Linked DNA regions of Cricetulus griseus. The protein of the gene in region 1 purifies or fractionates together with the protein of each later gene. This does not show direct contact. Links are inferred from orthologs where the notes say so. Each region holds a gene or a part of one and is shown in the gene's direction. Other genes may lie near its edges.

The links.
Region 2: the proteins of Pinx1 (region 1) and Tert purify together in Homo sapiens (co-immunoprecipitation; 3 studies listed by BioGRID and IntAct, with this or other methods). This does not show direct contact. The link is inferred for Cricetulus griseus from reciprocal best matches to the Homo sapiens genes PINX1 and TERT.

The regions. Positions count from the first base shown.
Region 1 is NW_023276807.1:218,885,712-218,896,271, forward strand, and holds the start of Pinx1 (PIN2/TERF1-interacting telomerase inhibitor 1), read left to right. Parts: upstream 1-4,487; 5' UTR 4,488-4,608; coding exon 4,609-4,627; intron 4,628-4,798; exon of another isoform or gene 4,799-4,943; intron 4,944-7,873; coding exon 7,874-7,983; intron 7,984-9,629; coding exon 9,630-9,722; intron 9,723-10,560. UniProt on the Homo sapiens protein: Microtubule-binding protein essential for faithful chromosome segregation. Mediates TRF1 and TERT accumulation in nucleolus and enhances TRF1 binding to telomeres. Inhibits telomerase activity. May inhibit cell proliferation and act as tumor suppressor.
Region 2 is NC_048595.1:368,297,055-368,307,671, forward strand, and holds the start of Tert (telomerase reverse transcriptase), read left to right. Parts: upstream 1-4,023; 5' UTR 4,024-4,408; coding exon 4,409-4,627; intron 4,628-4,722; coding exon 4,723-6,058; intron 6,059-10,203; coding exon 10,204-10,399; intron 10,400-10,617. UniProt on the Homo sapiens protein: Telomerase is a ribonucleoprotein enzyme essential for the replication of chromosome termini in most eukaryotes. Active in progenitor and cancer cells. Inactive, or very low activity, in normal somatic cells.

The DNA.
Region 1 (10,560 bases):
TAGAAGGCTACAAGAGGGGCCTTGCAAGGGAAATCCAAGGACACTAAGCTGAGAAGTTGGAGAGGAAAACTTAGTATTAAAAATAAGGGTATGAAGGTGAGAAGAGACTAAATAATTCTGGGTTGTGTTTACTGGATATAAAGTTGTCCTTCCTAATGTGAGAAATCCTGCAGACGAGTCACTGAAGTTACAGGCCTTCAGACCAACCCCAGAGACATCCAGAAGATAGGGCTCTTATGCCTCCATTGGGAAGCTTTGTTTCCTTTCTTCTCACTTTTCTTTGTTCCATTTATTTCCTGAGTGCATGCTTGCACGTGCGTGCCAGTGTGTATGGCCATGTCTATGGATTTCAGAGAATCTTGGTTGTTGTTCCTCAGATGATAAACTCAGGTGTTGTTCCTCTGGTGCCTTCTACCTTATGTTTGAGGGAGAGTCTGTCACTGGCCTAGAACCTCACCATGTATGTTAAGCTAGTAGCTAGTAAATAAACTCTAGGGATCTGTCTCTCTCCACCTTCCAGCTTGCCATGAATGGGATTGCAGCTATGTGCAACTATTTGCACCTTTTTATGTGGATTCTGAAGATCTGAACTCAAGTCCTTGCACTTGCAAGGCAAATAATTTACACACTGCGCCATCTTCCAATCCCTAACCTGGCATTTTATTGTGAAGTTATGGGAAACACAAAATGTGATATAATCATACTCCATTTTTAAGTCTTTTGCTAGAAGGTTCACTGAAGGTGGGCAGAGTAAGCAAGGAGGCAAGGCAGTAGGAAAGGAGGAGAGCTGCATCAGTGGAACTGAATCTACGGGGCTACAACAGTTTTAAAGCATGTTCACCAAACAGGTGGTGGTAACAGAAATTATGGACAGGATTCTCTACGCTCCCTTGCATGTATGGACATAGTTCATTTTCAAACTGTGCAGTTTGGGAAGAAAGGGGGAATCCATGACTTGAGATAAAGCCATGTCAATGTCAGAGTGTCCTCTTCAGTGCAAGGGACTTCTTGGAGAAGAGGAAGAGTGAGCAATGGAAACAGAAAGAAGTGCAAAAAGAGTGCTTTGATCAGATGCAGGAGTCCAGGGTGCTGAGAGAGGAACATGAGCCTCAACAGTTGGCCCAGGTCCCCACAACTTTTTACATGCATAACCTTTTAAAAAAGATTTATTTTTTTATTATTTTTAATTGAGTGTGGGGGGAGGGGAGGTGAACTTGAATGCAGATGCTTACAGAATTCAGGAGAGGGCTTTGGATTCTCTGAAACTGGAGTGATAGGCAATTGTGAACTGCCTTAGATGAGTGGTTGGAATTGAACCTGGGTCTTTGCAGGAGCAAGAATTATTCTTAATTACTGAGCCAGCTCAAGCCCTGTCCCTGTATCTTTCTATTCTCCCCTTCCCACATACCCTGATGGTATTTTCCGGGAAAAACACTGAAAGAGGAAGCCTGCATCCATCTTCAGTCTTTTCTTCTAAGAACATATGACCCTGGTCCAAGAGGCTGATGACTAGACTGTTTCAGGGTTCAAGTCAGTATTTTAGAAAGGAATCAATTGCCAATAATATAAAATAATATCAGTTCTATGAAGGGACCAATTTGAAGACATGTGCACCAGGAAAATGATAAGAATTCCCTCTGGTACACTCATCCCTAAGTATCTTTCCTAAAATTCTTCTGAACTGATGAAAATTTTTGGCTTACAGAGTTTTCAGCTGTTTAAAGAGGGGCTGGGTTATGAAAGAGATGTAGGAAACTTGTAGTAGTGTTCTTAAACTAAAATTCCTCCTATAAGTGTGAATGTATTCACCCTCCTAAATATTTGCATCAAGGGAATGAGAGACCCTTTCCTGATTCTTTGCTCTTTAGGAATATGGGTCTGGAATGTAAGATTATCACTCTATGCCAATGTGTAATTTTGCCTGTCTTAGTCCATTTGAACTGCTACAACAAAATACTTAAATTGGCTTTTAGATAACAGAAATGTATCCTTCAAAGTCCTGGAGACTGAGTCCAAGGTGGAATGGTTGCCAAATTTAGTTGCTGGTTCCCAGATGCTGTCATGTTGCTGCATTCTCAGAGTATGTGAGAGAGAGGAGGAAACCTAGATTCTTTCTCTTAAAGGCAGCAATCCCATCCCGAGGCTCCCTCTTTGTGATCATACAACCCCCCCAAAGACACCCACCTACTCATGACATCTCATTGGGGATGAAGGTTTCAGCACATGAGTAAATCTCATGATAACAGATTGGCTCATTTTGATGTATAAGAGAAAACTGAGCCTCCTGGTCCCTGGCAGTTGGGGTTGTGGGAGGAACTATTGCCAGCAATCCCTGCAACTACCTGAGTAGCTGCTGTCATTTGCCACACACTCCACCCCTAGGGGGTTACAGAGCTCTAGCAGCCCCTGGCCATTTTGTGCAGTGATGAGGCAGTATAAGCATACTTTTCTGATGCCATGGCAAGTAGAAATTGAGCCATTCCTTTTTTTTGTCTTCCCTCTCCCTTCATCCATCCTTCTTTTTCTGTTTTGAAGTGTGACATCTCTTCTTTTTATCTCTGAGGTTTGAAATATCACCTTGATTCAGGAATTCCACACGTTAAGGTCTTTATTCCTGGGAACGGCACACTAAGGCTGGTAATAGGAAAGGATATAGCAATCCCTTGCTCAGTCAAGTTCAGGCTATACATGGGTGAGCTTCAATCCCCATCAACTAACAATAATAATGAAAGAGGAATGATTATGTAAGGCACAAGTGCAGCATGTCAACATGCTGTCTTCCTGGAGAATCAATCAGATTTAGCAGAGGCCAGGACAGGAGTTTCACTATTACAACTACAGAATATTTTTACACAGTGCATGCTGAACTTCACACTGACAATCTCAGGATCTTTTCTGGTTGTCTCTTACTTCCACTATGATTAATTTATCAGTTTACTTTTTTTTAAATCACCAAGACTAGTTTCTGCTCTAGAAAAAGTCATGATAGAAGCAAGTACTCTAGTGTCCTAATCAACTTGCTTAAGACTCCAGACCTGAATTGACGACATACTTTCTTTTCTGTCCTCTACAACCTTGCTCATCAAATTCTTCATAAACAGGGGTAAATGGACAATAGAAGTTGACAGTGCTCCCTAAAGATGTTTTCAAACAAAAAATAAAGGTTTCCAAAGGTAGAAGATGCTGTGATCTAAGAACACTCACGGGGAATGCCACGCATTAGCCAATCCTCCTTGTCCTGAGGAGATCCTCTAGAGAGGAGTGAGAGGCTATACAATAAAGCCTGTATCCTCACCGTGTGTGAGGAAATGCTCCTGTGTGCCCTCCTGCTTGGAAGTCCACCGTTTTTCTGGCCTTGGGAGTGGTGATCTAGATCAGCAGCACTGGCCCTAGGAAAGGGCAAACTGGAAAGGTTTTTGGTCACAGTCCAGGTGCTCTAAAGGGGTGATTTGGTCAAACCTAGCCTCATAGTTGCAGTGTCATACCTCCGGCCTTTTCTTTCTTGTTTATAATTCATGGTCAAGCACATGACCCTTCTTAGCTGAGTGTTATCAATCTCCTCATCTTACAGGTAAGTAGATGGGGGCAAAGTCACTTCCGATTCTCAGGTCTGTTGACTCCCAGTTCTGAGTTGTTGCCCCACCACAGCCATTAGACAATACCACTTCATTTCCCCAGCACACTGCGTCCTAGAAGGGCTGCACTGACTGCAGTGCGGTCTACATGGGTTGGGTAGTTGGGTCTGATGAAAAGTGGACGTGGCCTTCCCAAGAAGAGGAAATGAAGAAGAGCCCTGTGAAGGACAGCGCACTGGCCAGTGCTCAAGGCATGGCTACAACAAAGATGTGAGAAGAGCTAAGGTCTAGATGGGAAGGGAAGCCTTGGCAAAGAAAGGGACCCTGGAGGGAGAAGCTAGAGGGAAAAAGCAAATACACAGCTTGGGGGATAGCTGAGGTCAAAGGTCTGGAGGAGAAGGGATGCAATGTGGGCGCGGCAGAATGTGGCAGGATGATTTCAGCAAACGCCAGGTATGGCAGATCTAACAATGGGACTGGGAAAGGCCTTTGGGATTTAAGTTTGTCACAGTGAAGACCTTTGAAGAGTTAACATTTCTCCACCGTTGAGCACAAAAACACATGGTGCTTCATTTGCCTTTGCCAGCTAGATGTCTGTGTCTGCTTTTTCTCCCTCCCTCCTCGCTCAGCATTCCCAATGAGCAGAGGTAAAATGTGAGGAGCACAGGCTTCCTTCCATAGTGCCAAAACCTTCTTCTTCAGCTGTCTCGCCAGCTCTTTAAAGGCCCCCAGGACAGAACCCCCGAACAGCTCTAAGGGCGCTTGCACACCCATTTTCGGAGTTAAACTATGAATTGCTTTTGTCCCACAAGCTCCGGCCGAGCCCTAGAACGAATCTGGATCTCTCAATCCTGCAAGGCGGTCCCGCCCCTCAGCTTCACGTGGTTGATAGCGAGTCGCGTACAGCTGACGTCACTAGTATGCGCCCCCAGCGCCCCTTTCCACCCGGCGTGCGCGCCTAGGGTTTCTATCTTATCCTCTCTTCAGACCCCTGGGCTCCCGGTCAGAGGCGGCGCTCGGCAGATTTGCGACAATGTCGATGCTGGCGGAGCGTGAGTGTCGGCCGAGCTGGGCGACTGAGTGATGGGTTGACGGGCACTGGCCACCGAAGTACCCAGGGCGGGGGGGGGGGGGGAGTGTCCGAGCTCCGGGTGGGGACCGCAGTGACTGCCGGGCTGGCGCGGGACAGACAGCGATGTCCCCGGGACTCTGTTCCTGGTGCTAAAGGCTCGGGTCGCACGTTCACGTGTGCGTTCTGAGGTTCAGGACACCAAGTCTCAGACTTTCCCTTGCGCGGGCCATCGTGGCCACCTGGGAGGATTCTTTCACTTCTCCGGGCTCAAGTGTCCGGAGGTTGGTTCCAGAAAGGTGGGTCCCGCAGCATCGCTTCAGGCTCTGAAATTCAACTGGCCAAGTTGTGTTGGACCCGAAGAAGAAAAGCGGAAGCATTACAAGTGTCAGACACTGAGTAGTAGCCCATGGCGGGAGTGCAGGCTGCTGCTGAATGGTTCCAAGCGAGATTGAGAGGGTATCCGTGGTTTGAGGCGACGTTGCCTCTATGTCTTTGACACTTGAAGTCCACAAATTCCCCTCCTTAGAGGCTACTTTTACTTATAAATAATAAGTGTAGCTATGAATTCTTGCCACCAGTAGGCAGTCGTGTGATGTTAACTAAGAACCGGCTTTTAACTTTTCCTGGAAGTTGTGTGAAGCTATTAAGGAGCTTAAACAGATATTTTCTTTTTAAAAGATGATATTATGCATTTTAGAACAAGGCATGTTTTAGTGATTCTTATTCCCCATCTCCCACTACCCTACTGCCAACCCTGATCCCCGGTGCCAGTCTGGGTTCTCTGTTTGTAGTTTGCCCCCACTCTGTTTTCATGGAGCATACTGCACATCGGGCAGGCAGCTCAATAGTTGGAGTGGAGAGCGTCCTTTCTAGGTAGATCAGTTGATTCGACCCTCTTCCAGGCAATTCAGCTGGTCTCTACTAACATGAAGTTGGGGCTCGTTTCTGCCTCATCCAGGCTTAATAATCCTGGTGAGGTGATTGCATCAATACAGATTGGAGTGTCAGCAGTAGTATACAGGGGAGAACAACTGACCTGGCAACCAGTTCCTTATATAGCATGGCAATGCATCTTGGGTAAGTATGTGACAGGGATGCATTTCTGATGGGATGGGTAGGCTCCTTACAAGCCATGGTCAGCAACCCCGGCAGGCATTCTCTAGACGTTCATCAGAGGAGACACACATGCAGACCACCAGCTAATACGACTGTCTTTACTGTGTGCATTAGTGAGATAGTGTGCTGAGTATATACCAGGTTGTTGAGCCAGGTGAAACAAGTTTTTGGATCAGCTCCCCTCCACCCCCACCCCACGCAGGCATAACACTGCAAATTTGAATCCAACTCAGTTTGGTTTGTGGTGTTTTATTGTTTTTGTTCTTTTTGTTTGTTTGCTTCTGCCTGCATGCCTGTGAAGGGATTCTTGTTTTTGCTAGGGTACATATAGGTAAAGATCCCTATTGATTTTACATAAAAGACAGTGAGCCCTTTGACAAGGGGCTGTGTTATTTTTCAGTTGGGTTATGAGGCTGTTGATAGTGTGCTTACATGAGTGCAATGGGTGAGCAGTAATAACATTCGACCTCCAGATTCCTTACTTGGCCACAGTTGACTTTGGAAGTTTAGATTCTTGTTTTATTGACCTGGTGGGTTCTTTTCTGCCATAGTTTTCCCTCAAAATTGTAAGAGTGAAGCCAAATGTGGTGGCTCCTGCCTGTTTTCCCCAGCATTTGTAGAGCTAAGACTAGAGATTGCCACCAAATTCAAGGCCACCCTAGTCTACAGAGATAGACTGTCTCAGAGAAACAAACAAAACTATAGTGATGAACTTGTTCTTTTTTTTAGATTTATTTATTATATATATAGTGTTCTGCCTGCATGTATACCTGCAGGCCAGAAGAGGGCACCAGATCTCATTGTTGATGGTTGTGAGCCACCATGTGGTGCCTGGGAATTGAACTCAAGGACTGCTGGAAGTGCTTTTAACCTCTGAGCCATCTCTCCAGCCCGAACTTGAATTTTTAATTGTCAGTTATTTATATTAATTCCAGAGAAAAGTTTCCATGCAATTCAAAGCAGTTCCCTTATTTCAGCTATTCATTCCTTTCTTCCTTTTTTTTTCTTCCTTTCCTTTTTCTCCTTCTTTCTCATTCCTTCATATACTCATACATTTTTATCAGGTGCTAGCTATATGCAAAGTGCTTATTTTCCTTCTTGCAATGAAACATAAGAATGAAGAACTGAATATGATACTTCAGGGATATAGAGTAACAGGACACATGGAAGATGGGTATAAACACCACAGTGCAGTAGAATGTGAAGTGCCACTGATTATTCTGGAGGCTCAGTGAATACGCTGTGATTTTTATTAAGAAGGGAGGTATATTGGCTGTTAATCATAATGTACAATTAACTTTCCATAAGTTGTGTATTAAGAATATGATGAGTTGATCTGGGCATGGAAGGTGGAGGCAGGAGAATCAGGAGTTTAAGGTTATCCTTAGCTATATAGCAAATTTAAGGTTAGCTTAGCACCACATGAATCTCCATCTCACCCTTCCCTTTAATAACTTTTGAAATCCATGGAACCTTGATTTGTATAAAAGGTTTGGGTTTTACTTGGAGATGTTAGGCAGATATTATTCTCCTAGACTCGGGTCTTCTCATCTGAAAGATAGAAAGGTAAGAGTATCTGCCTTCATCGAGATACTGTGGAAATTGAATCTAATGTATGGGTAGCATTTAGCCTACAACATGAAGCAGTGAGCATCGAGGTGCCTGCACCTGCTGCTGTGGTTGCTGCAGCTGCCAGTGAGTATGAAGGTGGCTACAAGAGGGTCTTTGGTTGTTGCCAGTGACTGGATGTGGATGCTTTCTTTTCCTTTTTTTTCTTTCTGTTTTTGATTTTTTGAGACAAGGTTTCCCTGTGTAGCGTTGGAGCCTGTCTTGGAACTAGCTCTTGTAGACCAGACTGGTCTCCCAAGTGCTGGGATAAAAGGCATACGCCACCACCACCTAGCAATTTTGCTTTCTTTCTTAAAGGGAATATTTTGCTTTGAATTTTGCAAGATTAGTTTATATGCCAGGAGTGTATAATTACAGGGAAAACCAGGGGAATGATTCTATTATCCTCTTGGACACTGAATGTGTCCTGTTAACATGCAAGCATGTTCTGATTTGCATGTACTCAAGACTGGTTGCTGATGACATGCCTTTTCATTTACAGCTCGGCGGAAGCAGAAATGGACTGTGGATCCCAGAAACACTGCATGGAGCAATGATGATTCCAAGTTTGGCCAGAGGATGCTTGAGAAGATGGGGTGGTCTAAAGGAAAGGTATCGAATCAAACTCTAAAGTATTTGTGCCAAGCCTGTAGATCACAAATCAGAAGATAACCTTCTTAGAGTCTGGGAGAACTTTGTGCTTTAGGTCAGTAATTGATTTTGGAGAACTAAATTGTGGCCAGGTGGTAAAATTAGACTGGAACATGAATACCAGGTCTTCTGGTTCCTGCTGTAATATCTTTCTTAGATATTTTTCAATTCATTACACATGAATCATACTCCAGCTTCAGTTTTGTGTTTCTAAGAATGGTACTTAATTTTCCTTTGGAGTAGATGCATCCTGTCTTGAATCCCTTATGACCCACCCACTCCTCACTATAGTGAAGCTTTTAATGTGAAACTATATGTCCTATTTCTGTCAGGGTTGCAGGGCTCTTGCTGAATTTAGTGGGTGTAAGGTATCCTTCAATTGCCTCACCCTTAGCAGTGCTCCACAAGGTTGTTTTGTGGAACTTTGTTGTGGTAGCATTACTACCCTTTCTCTCGCCTTGTTCTTTATCACATCAGCTACCTCTAAATCATGGCCATCTTCTATCTCTAGACTCTTGAGCTGTGGAGCTGATTTGTATAGTCTGCTTGGGTGACCTCATTAATTACCTACCATGCATTGAATTGTGCCTCCTAGCTGTGATACTTAAGTGGCCACCTCAAAATTATTTTTTATTACAAATCTCTTGTCCCCTAAAATCTTCTCTTTTCCATGTTTCCCTGGCTTTCAAAGATGGTGCTAACTACCCAAGCATTCAAGCAATGCCACTTCCCATTTCCCTTCTGTCCTTTCACCATACCACAACCAGAAGAGCCTTTCAAACTGAACTTTAGATCATGTTGCTCCCTTGCTGAAGATATTTCCGAGGACTAAAATCTACATCTTGCTCCAACTTTCAAGGTCCTGTGATATTCCATCTCTGTTTTTATATTCTTTCCCCATTCACCTAGCTGAAGCCTTCCTGGAGGCCTTCCATGTCCTGTAGTCCATAAAGGTCTGTTTCACTTACAGTCTCTGTACTTGCTATTCCTATGACCTACAACCTTAGGAATGAGAGCAAGGTGAAACCAGGGTCATGGAGTGCTCCTCCACTTTCTTTCTTGATGTCATGTTGTAGTATCAAGTAACAGAGAATGTGATGTGCTCCACATGCTCCCGTAGGCTTCTGCCACTTGCTGTAACAGTGCCCTACTCCAGAACATACACAAGATATGCACTTTACACAATGTCTTCATGGACCCTGTATTAGTTCTTGGGTTCAAGAGGCAGCATTCACAATTAAGAATGCATCCTTGGTGCTGCAGACATTATCTTCCAGAACCTTCTGGGCCAATGGTTCTCAACCTTTTTAATGCTGTGACCCTAATATACAGTTCCCCCTTTTGTGATGACCCCCATCATAAAATTATCTCATTGCTACTTCGTGATTAACTTTGCTACTGTTATGAATCGTAATGTAAATATCTGATATACAGGATATCTGATATCTGACCCCAGTGAAGGGGTTGTTCCACCCTCAAAGGGATTGTGACCCACAGGTTGAGAACCATTGTTCTGGGCTGTGTCTTTTTTGAATAGAAAGAAAGCAACAATTTCTCTTTGTAGTTGATGGGGTTATATTTAATCTCTTTCTGTTTAATATCCACAGGGTTTGGGAGCTCAGGAGCAAGGAGCCACAGAACACATTAAAGTTAAAGTTAAAAATAACAATCTGGGACTTGGAGCTACAAACAATAATGAAGTGAGTGACTTCTGATGTTTTCTTTGCAGAGTTGAGTTGTATCAGCATAAATTGACATTTGTGCAAGTAGATGGAATGGTTTTAATTAAAAGTATGGTACCTACTTTGAGTGAAGAAAGACATAAGAGCACTTGGTTTAGCTTTCCTCATCCTGTGACTTGCATACACCACCGTTGCCTTGTCCTCCTGGATCCTTTACTTAGTTATGGCCTAGCAAGGCACTCCTGTTTTATAGCTGAACTTTGTAAAAAGTTTTTTCAAAGAAATGTTCCTTTCAGAACAGAGCCTATTTTTATCTTTACCTGTGTCCTAATACTAGTTTGTCTTATTAATGCAGGTAGCTTTGAGAGTGGGAAGTGATGGAGGAAAGCTGGCTTGTTTCTGACTGTTGGTGTTCCTCAGTCACGTGTCCTGTTGAACACAGACTCTGCACTTGCAAGTCAGCAGCTGCCAGACTTTTCAGGTTTAGTACCCACTGCTCCTTTTCATTCAGAGTCAGACCTGGGAGCTTTGTCCTGACCTCTTGTAGCAAACAGAATCCAGTAAAAACAAACAAACAAACTGGGAGAATGACTTTATGGAAACAGAATTGCTTAGAGTAATTTGGTGTCTCTGACTAAAATAGTCAAAATTTTTTTGAGTAACAGCTAAAATTTTAGCCACCAAAGAAAGAGTCTCTATAAGGTTAATGGTAATGCTGCTTTGAGAAACACAAAACATTCTATACTTACATTCTTAGGAGAAGCATTGCGTTCTGTAAACCTATTTGTACACCTTATCTTTTAGGCTTTCTTAATAAATGCTTATGTAAAGTTATATGCAGAAACCTTGATGTCCA
Region 2 (10,617 bases), on another chromosome or scaffold:
TAGACAGTGACTTCCCTCACTCCACTCTTGAAAGCCTGGCTTTCCTGGGTACAAGGTTAAGAGGGTGGCTGGCTGGCCATAGCTTTCCTCTGGGTGTGTCTTCCTTTAGTGATCATCAAGAGTTCCTCAAGACTGGGGGATTTCCTTGGTGAGAAGTCTTTCTTCTTGTCTGAGGTCAGGATTTCCCTTTTTCACTGTGTAGTTCTTTTTGCTTCTTCTGGTTAGTAATATGTTAATAATGCATACATACATGCCTTTCTTCAATAATGAGAAAAAATTGTAGCCTGTTTTCCACATCAGTGCTTTCCTGAATGACCTTACCTTTTCATTTACTTCCATTTTACCTGTTTTTTTTTTGTTTGTTTGTTTTGTTTTGTTTTGTTTTTGTTTTCGAGACAGGGTTTCTCTGTGTAGCTTTGGAGCCTATCCTGGCCCTCGCTCTGGAGACCAGGCGGGCCTCAAACTCACAAAGATCCGCCCAGCTGTGCTTCCTGAGTGCTGGGATTAAAGGCATGTGCCACCAACGCCCAGCATATTACCTGTTTTCTTTTAAGATTACTTGGCCGAGCATGATGGTGGCACACATCTTTAATCCCAGCACTCAGAAGGCAGAGTCAGGCCTATCTCAGTGAGTTTGAGGCCAGCCTGGTCTACAAAGCAAGTTCCAAGACAGCCAGAGCTGCTACACAGAGAAACTGTGTCTTGAAAAACAAAAACAAAAAGATAACTTTACTTGATACCTGGTTCATTTATTTAAATTTTTGTTCGTTTGACTTACATGTTCATTTTATCTCTAGAAGCTCTATTTGCTTCTCTTCTGACCTGCTCTTAAGTTGTATCCCACCTTCCTGATTTTGTATTCTAAATATAAACTTATGTCATATTATGAATCAATTTCAGTAAATGGGATTTTTACATCTAACAATACCGTGGGGGTTGTTGCGGGTGCATTGCTTGTTTGTTTGTTTGTTTGTTCTTACCCTCATTCTTGTGCTTTCTGTGCTTGGACTTTAAAATTTTTTTTTTGTTTTTTTAACTGAGTTCTACTTGGTAGCTCAGGATCACTTTGAACTCATGTCAATCCTGTTTGAGCCTCCTGAGTGCTGTGTGTTTGAAGGAGGCTTTGTTTGTTTGTTTGTTGCTTCTATGTTTGTATTTTGTTGAATTGTATGAATCCTAAGACCTAAAATGTGAAATGTTTGTTGTTATATTTCAGGAAGGACTTGAGGACTTGGCAGGGACCAGCATTGTTTTCAGAATCATGTACACACACACACACACACACACACACACACACACACACACACACACACACACACACACACACACACACACACACACACTGTGGTGAGGCAGAAGCCATAGTGTGAGGATCAGAAACCCAGAGTAAAAGACTGGGAGGTGATGAGAAGCCTGTGATGGGTGTATTGAGCAGGATGGTAAGTACTCCCGAGTATCTTTCAAAGATCTTTCCAGCTGTTCTTAAAGTGGCATTAAGAACCTATTGCAGTAACGGAAGACGCGGTGGCAGTGGCTAGATGCAGCATGCAGAAGGACTCAAGTCATCTCATGGTGGCTTAGGCTTTCCTCAGCTCTTGAGCAGTGGCAGGGTTGCCTCTTTAAAGAAGGGGTTAAGCACCTTCTTTAAATCCTCAACACCTGAACACTTGTTTTCTCAAGTCAGAAGTCAGTGGCTTAATCATTCACCTCTCTCTTCCTCTCCCTTGCCATTCATGATTGCAAACAGCTCCCATTGGATCTGATGATTTGCCCAGCCTGGAAGAAACCTCTCTTCTGAAGGGCTTCACAGACACCCCATTCTCTGAGAAAGGACCACATAGGCTAGCCAGCCATGTGCTTCCAAGGGGCGAAATTAAACTTAATTCTATAAGCAAATACAACCTTTTCCAAGTCCAAGTGGATGAGTTTATCTTACTGTTTTCTTAAATTTCATCAAATAACCTCCAAGGTCTCGAAAATCCAAAGATGTAAAAAAGGAATTGAGCTCTGTTTGCCAAGCCATGAGGATTAAATAACGACATTCAAAGAGATTTTTGTGCCCTAAGCACTTTTTATTGGTTTTCATAGGCAATTTGATGTGCAAGACGAAGCAAACAGAAAAGAGGTGGTGTCAGCATGGCTTAAGGTGGCAGTAGTGAGGGAGTGGCTCTCAGAAAACAGCACAAGGTGACCTATCCCAAGAAGAGGCCAAGTTGGTCAGTGCCCGTACTTTCAAGCCCAGAACCAGGACATACTCTCTTGAGGTGCCATCTGTGAAGTCAGGGAGTCACCAGCCTCTGGTGGCATTCATTCTCATACTTCCTGAGCTGTTTGACGTTGATAAAATAAATGATGGGTATGAAATTGACGGGTCTATGACTAGCTATGTAAATGAAATATTCTGTTCTGATATCCCCATCTTGACCACTAAGAAGTAAATCGGTGTTCCAGTGATCTCTGCACATGACAAGCTACACCGGAACAGTATCACATCCAGTGCTTTGCCCAGATTCTGGGTGGGGAGAATCCAGTTGGAGTCACTTGCTGCCAGAGCATTACAGGTCCCCAGGGATTTCCTACAGACATGTCTCCCTGTATGGGTAGGGACACTAGGAGTCCTCTACCCCCTTTCCTCGGAGTTTCTAAGCTACCACCTGCTGTCTCTGGCATAGCTCCTGGTGGGCAGCCTCTGCCTGGTCTAGTGTCTGTAAGAACAGCTTTCTAAGCCACACTGTTACTAGCCAGCACACACATCCCTCCCCTGTGTGTGTGTGTGTGTGTGTGTGTGTGTGTGTGTGTGTGTGTGTGTTCACTGGTTCCATCATAGCTCATGGACAGCTTCTACACATGTTTTCTGCTTTGGTTTCTTCTAGTCTTTTTTATTTATTGACTCTGGCCTTGAACCCAGGGTCTCATGTATAGTCAGCACATGCCACCCACTCCCTTTCTCCTCTTTGTCTTTTGAGGCAGAGTCTTAACTTGGCACAAGCTGACCTTAAACTCACTGCGTAGCTGGCCTGGTTTTGAATGGCCCCTCATCATCCTGCCTCCATCTCCCAAGAGCTAGGATTACAATGATGCACCACCATGCCCAGCTATATTCTAATTTTTAAAACTGTTTTTTCAATGCTGGTTTCTTTGGGAAACCACACTAAGGACACTTGGTTGTTGGCACAAATTCCTCAGTTCAGTCCCAAATCTCCAAAGTAGCAGTACTCAGCAAACCTCAAAAACACCCCTAAAAGAGGCTGACACCCACTAAATGGACTTCTAAAATAGCAACTGTAATCCCAAGCATTTAGAAGGCGGCTGACCTCCTACAAGGGAGTAAACATGAAAAAGCGCCTGTCGGGAGGGCTCCAGGTCTGTTCAAATGCTAGGTCGGTGGATAGAAGCAATTTCCTCAGAAAGCTGAAGGCACCAAAGGTTACATTTGTTAGCATTTCAGTGTTTGCCAAATTCAGCACAGATTCTGTATTTCCCAGCGCTTCAAACTTCACAAGGCCCTAGCTGTGGCTCTAGGTAGTGTCACTATTGATGTCCCCGACCCCTAGCGCCAGTGCCCTGTGCCCCCCCCCCCACCCCACACTGTCCCACTCTCAAGTACTGTTAAAGCTACCAGCCTCGAGTTAGAGGGGCTGCTATCCTGAGGTCGAGGTCTCTGCTTTGGCTGTGTGCACACTCAGTGCCCTTGGTCAGTGACTCTGGTCTAGCCACCGTGCCTGAGTGGGAGATGACCAATAGCTCTGGACCCTGGGGTGAAGGCTGCTGTGACAGTAAGAAAAGCGGACGCACAGCTTCACCTGGTCCCCGTCCTTTGGTGGCAGATGTTAAGGAAACCTTTTGGGGAGCTGAGCTTATGGTGGGGCCACAATAAAGCTTTAAGAACCTGTACAGTAGAGTTCCAGCCCTAATTATGAAGCCTTACTGGAAAGAACTGGGACTGCCACCACCCACTGTCTGCACCGAACTCACAGGAGGCAGCAGCCGGCTCTGGAGCAGGATGGACCTTAGATCCCTCTGCCTACAGAACCTTCAATAAATCAATAACAGGTGTCTTTGCTTGCGACCCTGCCCCAGTCTACACCACCTGGGGTCCCCAGCTCCGAGCGCAAGGGAGCCAACAAACTCTCTGTGGAGGGAAACCCTTTGTGACCACACCTCCCTCTGTTATTTTTACATTTCCCGCAACCACTGAACCTTGGGACCACCGACAGAAAGGCGCCATTGGTGCAACCCCGCCTCTTCCGCTACAACGCTTGGTCCGCTTCGATCCCGCCCCTTCCTCCGTCCCGACCCCGCCTTTTCCCGCCGCCGGCTCGCAATGTCCGGGGTCTTGATGCTTTTCTAACCCCAGCCCTACATCGAAGTTCCCGCACGTGGGAGGCCCGGCCGGACCTTGAGCGCGATGCCTCGCTCGCCCCGTTGCCGGGCCGTGCGCGCTCTGCTGCGCAGTCGATACCGCGAGGTGTGGCCGCTGGCAACCTTGGTGCGGCGCCTGGGACCTGAGGGCAGGCGACTTGTACAACCCGGAGACCCAAAAGTCTTCCGCACGTTGGTGGCCCAGTGCCTAGTGTGTGTGCCCTGGGGCTCGCAACCTCCACCTGCTGACCTTTCGTTCCACCAGGTGGGCCTCCGGGTTGGATCCCTGTGGGTCGGGGGCGGAGAGCCGGGAGGACGCGGGACAGCGCGTCTAGCTCAAAACCCTCTTCTCCTTACCAGGTGTCATCACTGAAGGAGCTGGTGGCCAGGGTCGTGCAGAGACTCTGCGAGCGCGGAGAGAGGAACGTGCTGGCTTTTGGCTTTGCGCTTCTTAACGGAGCCCAAGGCGGGCCACCCATGACCTTCACAACCAACGTGCGCAGCTATTTGCCCAACTCGGTGACTGAGTCTCTGCGCGTCAGTGGTGCATGGATGCTTCTGCTGAACCGAGTGGGCGACGACTTGCTGGTCTACCTGCTGGCCCGCTGCGCGCTTTACCTGCTAGTGCCCCCGAGCTGTGCCTACCAGGTGTGCGGCCCACCCCTGTACCAAATCTGTGCCACCGCGGATACTTGTCCCTCTGTGCCCCCCAGTTACAGGCCCACACGATCCGTGGGCAGAAATTTTACTCATCTTGGATCCACACACTCGGTCAGGAACAGCAATCACCAGGAAGCATGTAAACTCTTGCCCTTGCCATCTCGAGGCACAAAGCGGAGTCTAAGCATCACCAATAGAAGTGTGCCTTCATCCAAGAAGGCCAGGTGCGATCTGGCCCAGAGACTGGAGAAGGAACCCGACAGGCAGGCGGTTCCAACCCCATCAGACAAAACAAGGGTGCCAAATCCTGCTGAGTCCCCTGCAGTACCTATTAGTAGAACTACCAAGGAAGATTTGTCTTCCGGAGGGAAGGCACTTGGCCTGAGTCGCCCCGGGTCAGCGTGCTGTAAACACAAGCTCAGTTCCACATTCCTGCAGTCACCACTGTGCCAAGATGCCTTTCGGCTCAGACCATATACTGAGACCAAACACTTCCTGTACTCTAGGGGAGGTGGCCGAGAGAGGCTGAACCCCTCGTTCCTACTCAACAACCTCCAGCCCAGCTTGACTGGGGCCAGGAGACTGGTGGAGATAATCTTTCTAGGCATTAGGCCTAGGACATCAGGACCACTCTGTGGGACACGCCGCCTATCGAGGCGCTACTGGCAGATGCGGCCCCTATTCCAGCAGCTGCTTGTAAACCATGCGCGGTGCCCGTATGTCAGACTCCTCAGGTCACATTGCAGGTTTCCTACAGCAACCCACCAGGTGGCCGATGCCTTGAACACCACCAGCCAGCCGCACCTCATGAATTTGCTCCGCCTACACAGCAGTCCCTGGCAGGTATATGGCTTTCTACGGGCCTGTATCCGAAAGCTGGTGCCTCCAGGTCTCTGGGGTTCCAGGCACAACCAGCGGCGCTTCTTTAAGAATGTGAAGCAATTCATCTCCTTGGGGAAGTATGGCAAGCTCTCTCTGCAAGAGCTGATGTGGAGGATGAAAGTAGAAGACTGCCCCTGGCTTCGCAGCAGCCCAGGTGAGCAGGGCTGGTCTCCAGCTGAATGCAGTAAGGGTCCAAAAAAGGGAGACAATGAGTGGCAGGAGCCCAAGGCCTTAGTGCAGTGTCTTTATGCAGTCAGTGGTTGGGCAAGTCCCATCTGATGATCTCTGACTCCAAGCTCCCTCCCGCCCAGTTTGTGCTAACCAAGATTCTTGTCCAAGCCCTGGGGCAGGTTCTCAGGGCCAGGGACACTGGTGAACAGCAGGTGGAGTGCATAGTGTGGGTAGAAATACTGGCACTCGGTGAGAAGAAGCTCCAGTGAGAGCTGCTACAGGCTATTCTTGATCCCCTTGTGGAACAGTGCCTCGATGCTAAGGCCCCTGTGGTTTAAGGGTTCTGTTTCTCCCAGTGCAAAGACCTATGCGTGAGCTGTAGTGGTGCAGCTGCTCAGTCCACGAAAGGTTTAGGTGGAGAGAGGAGAAATAACGAAAGACTTTCCTACAGTGAAGATCCCTGTCCCATCTTAGTTTTGCAAATGGACCCCAGAAAGGAGAACCGAGCCTGCTGCAGGAAGGGGGACAGTGTTACTTGGGCGGTTGTAGAGCCAGGACTCCTGTGCCCTCCCTGTCCTGGTTTAATGTTAAGGTTGGTCCTCTTCCTTTCAGCAAGCCCTCCTGTCACCAATCTGTGCGTCTATGAAAGGAACCACACTCCCTATGCTGCTGCTCTGTCCTCTCCCAAACTCCTAGGATATTTACAACTTAAGGGGAAAAGATGGCAGAGCCATGTTTACCCACCGTGGGTGATCTCTGGGAGCTCCAGAGTGAGCCTATATCAATACACACACCTGGTTCTCCCAGCTGCAGCAGAGAGCCTCTGTGGCCCTTGTAAGTCATCCCACCTGCCCATGCATTGTCATCTCATCCCTTTGCAGCCCCAGAGCTCCCTTAGCCACAGCTGTCAGTATCTTGCCCAGGGTTACAGAGATGTCACTAGAGAAATACTGGAGCCCCTCGTACATCCCGTCTCCTAAGACAGATGGCTGCTCTCCTTCTGGACATAAGCTACTGTGACTCTGCCCAGCTCCCAACTTTATGATTGCTCTTCCAGATTTGTTTGGACATGTCTCTCCTACTCCAAGAACCCTTTGACTTTCAGTTTCTGTGTGGAATGTTCTCTTTTAATTTCATTCACACCTCTTCAGTTTTTTTGCTGTCGCTTTCTATCATCATAGGTTGGGTATTTGGCTACACATTTCCTTTTGGATAGTGCCTTAGCTGCACCTACTGCTTACATATATGATAATTTTGATATCAGTGGTTTGGGGCATTTTCGATCTTCCATTGTTTTTTGTTTTGATGTATTTATTACCTAGGAATTTTTAAATTCCAAATGTGAATTTTTTTTTTGATTTCCCTTTTAAATTGATTTTGAGCTCTTGTGTAGTATAGTCCTTATAATACTAGTTAACTGAAGGCGCTGGAAACTTGCACTTCTGCTTAGTTAGTTTTCCCAAGTTCCTTGCATTTCTGAGTGCTGAGGCTTTTGTGTTCACTGTGTCAGGTTTATACAAGAAATGTCCACATCCTTTCCAGGCCGTGAAAAAGGAAGGATGGATACCTCTGTCTATGACTGGACAACTAGAGTTATTTCTTCTTGTTCTGGTGGTATTTATAGGCAGTGTTGTTAAGTGTATGTACTAGTTACAAGCTTTTATTTATTTGTTTGAGTCAAGGTCTTACTATCTAGTTCCAGCTGGCCTGTAACTTGTTTATGACCTTGAACTCAGAGATCTGCCTATCCCTGCCTCCTGAGTGCTGAGATTAAAGGCCTGTGCCACCACACCTAGCCTGAATTTTTATCTTTCTGATTAGAGAATCAGGATATTATGTCTGTAGTGATTTTTTTTTTTTTTTTTTGGAAGGGGGTGGTTTAAGATAGGGTTTCTCTGTGTAGCTTTGGAGCCTGTCCTGGAACTTGCTTTGTAGACCAGGCTGGAGATCTGCCTGCCTCTGCCTCCTGAGTGCTGGGATTAAAGGCGTGTGCAACCACCAACCAGCCTGTAGTGATTTTTTAAATGTAAAGCTTTTTTTTTTCCCTTTGAGACAGGTTTTTGCAACATTGCTCAGGCTGCTCTCAAATTTGTGACCCTGTTTCCTGCCTCAGCTTCTGGAGAAGTGGGGTAGCAAGTGTGTAATACACGCCCAGTAGCTGAGTTTGTCAAACTGGCTGACCTGGGCTTGCTTTTGGTGTTTCCCTGCTATGTCTTTTTCCTCCCCTTAAGTTTTGCTTTTAAACTTTTCACATTCTTATAGATCAGATAGATCTTTTTCACAGCATGTAAGTGAATTATTTCCAGTTTGCTTTCATTGGTTTTAAATTTTTTATTCTCATGGGTGTTTTGCTTGTATGTCTGTGTACCACTTGAATGCCGAGTACCTACAGAAGCCAGGAGAAGAGGGTGGGATCACCTCGAACTGGAGTTTCAGATGGTTGAGAGTCACCGCGTGGATGATGGGACTCAAATCCCAGTTCTCTGAAAAAGCAGCCAGAGCCTTAACAGCTGAGCCATTTCTTCAGCCAGCTGGTCTTAATTCTTGCTGCACCCCACCCCCCACCCCCAAAGTCTTGCTGTCTGAGCAATTGTAAAGTGCATTTCCTTGCTGCACCTGTTTTCATTCTGTTTTTACCTTTGAGCGATAGGAAGTCATGTGCACTGTTCTTTGCCAGCAGTCACCTGACATTTGAACCTAAAGGTACTTGAACTTGGGTCAGCATCTCCACTACCTTCCTTATCTCTCTGCTGATTTCATTCTGCCTTCAGTCTCTCTACTCCCAAGTTAAACATCATGCTTGTTTCTTAAGGTCACTGTTTTATTTAGTCTTATCCTTCCACATTTTCTCCACTTATTTACTTATTTTTAATGATTATTTTGTGTGTGAGAGTGTTTTGCCTGAGTGTGTATGTATATGTACTATGCCATGCCTGGTGGTTGGAGCAGACCAGATGAGGGTGTTAGATTCCCTGGAACTGGAGTTTACAGGAGGTTGTGAGCTACCATGCGGATGCTGAGAAACAGCATGCTCTTGACCACGGAGATATCTCTCCCGCCCCCGATTCCTTCTTTCTTTGTTCATTCTGCTTTCTATCTTGTGCCTCCTTCTGGGATTCTCCATTCTCCTTCACAAGTTTCCTTCATGTTTATCACTGCTTGGTAAACGCAGCTTTATCCTGGTAAAGCGGGCTCCCACGGTATCTGGAGATGATATACAGAGTGATCTCCAGAGGCCTTCGGGAAGGACAGCTATCATGGCCTGTGGTGCACTGACCCCTTAGGTCCAGTATGACAGTGAAAACAACCTGTCCTCTGCTTGTCCCTACACATCTCTGAACCACACTCTGCTCAGTGGCAGTGAGCGTGTAGTCTGTGACCCAATAGTACAGGCCCAGCACCCATTGAGGTTTGCCTGTGCATGTGTGTGGAGGCCCGAGGTTGACATCAGGTATTTTCTTTAATCGCCTGGAATTGATGATTCAGATAGGATCCATCTGTCTTTGCCTCCCTAGCACTGGGATTACAGGCACAGGCCATACCTAGCTTTTCTAAGTGGGTTCTGATGAACTTGGTTTTCATGCCTCTAGCGCAAACACTTTACCAGCTAAGCCATGCCTCTGGCCCCTACCTGAAGACATTCTTAGCTTTAGCAGTTGGTAGAGGTCAGGGTCTGCTGAGTCAGTCCATCCCAAAAGATTCACTGGATAGTGAGTCACAAGGTGCTAGGTCAGATTCAGAGCTTGGAAGTGAATGGGAGTGAGAGATGGCTCAAGAGAATGCAAGTCAGAGATGCTCAAGAGCATCTCACTCTCAGTCTGCAGCGTTCTATCTCTAGTCACTAGGCCTGCAGGATCCCATTACTGACATGGCTTTGTCAGAGAACTTTAGTTTATGACCTACCAAAAATAAGTCCCGTACCCCCCCACCCCACCCCATCCCCCACCCCCCCCCCCACCCTCCATCCCGCGCACACACAAAGGTTAAGTTAGTTTATTGATGCATTCTATTAGAACCCACCATGTCCAGAGTAACACCTCGTGGGCTCATTTTGGGGTCCCATGGCTTCCATGCTGGACATCATGGGTGTGGGGTGAGTCACGGGTGTTGAGTATCTACTGCTTTCAGGAAACAACTGTGTCCCAGCCGAAGAGCACCGTACGAGGGAAAGGATCCTGGCTATGTTCCTGTTCTGGCTGATGGACACATACGTGGTAGAGCTGCTTAGGTCATTCTTTTACGTCACAGAGACCACATTCCAGAAGAACCGGCTCTTCTTCTACCGCAAGAGGGTATGGAGAAGACTGCAGAACATTGGAGTCAGGTACCACACATCTCTGTTGTCGGTGCTTGCTGTTTACGTATACTGACTTCAACAGTGCTTGGCACCTGCTAGCCTGTCCATGGGCCTTCAGGACATAGACTCCATGTAGTCATGGACTGGAGATCCTGCTTTCTGACCTGTAAAATCTTAAGTTGGGCCTACACCATCTATAGGCTCAATAACGTAGGAGGAATTCGCACCAAACAGGAGTAGAGTAG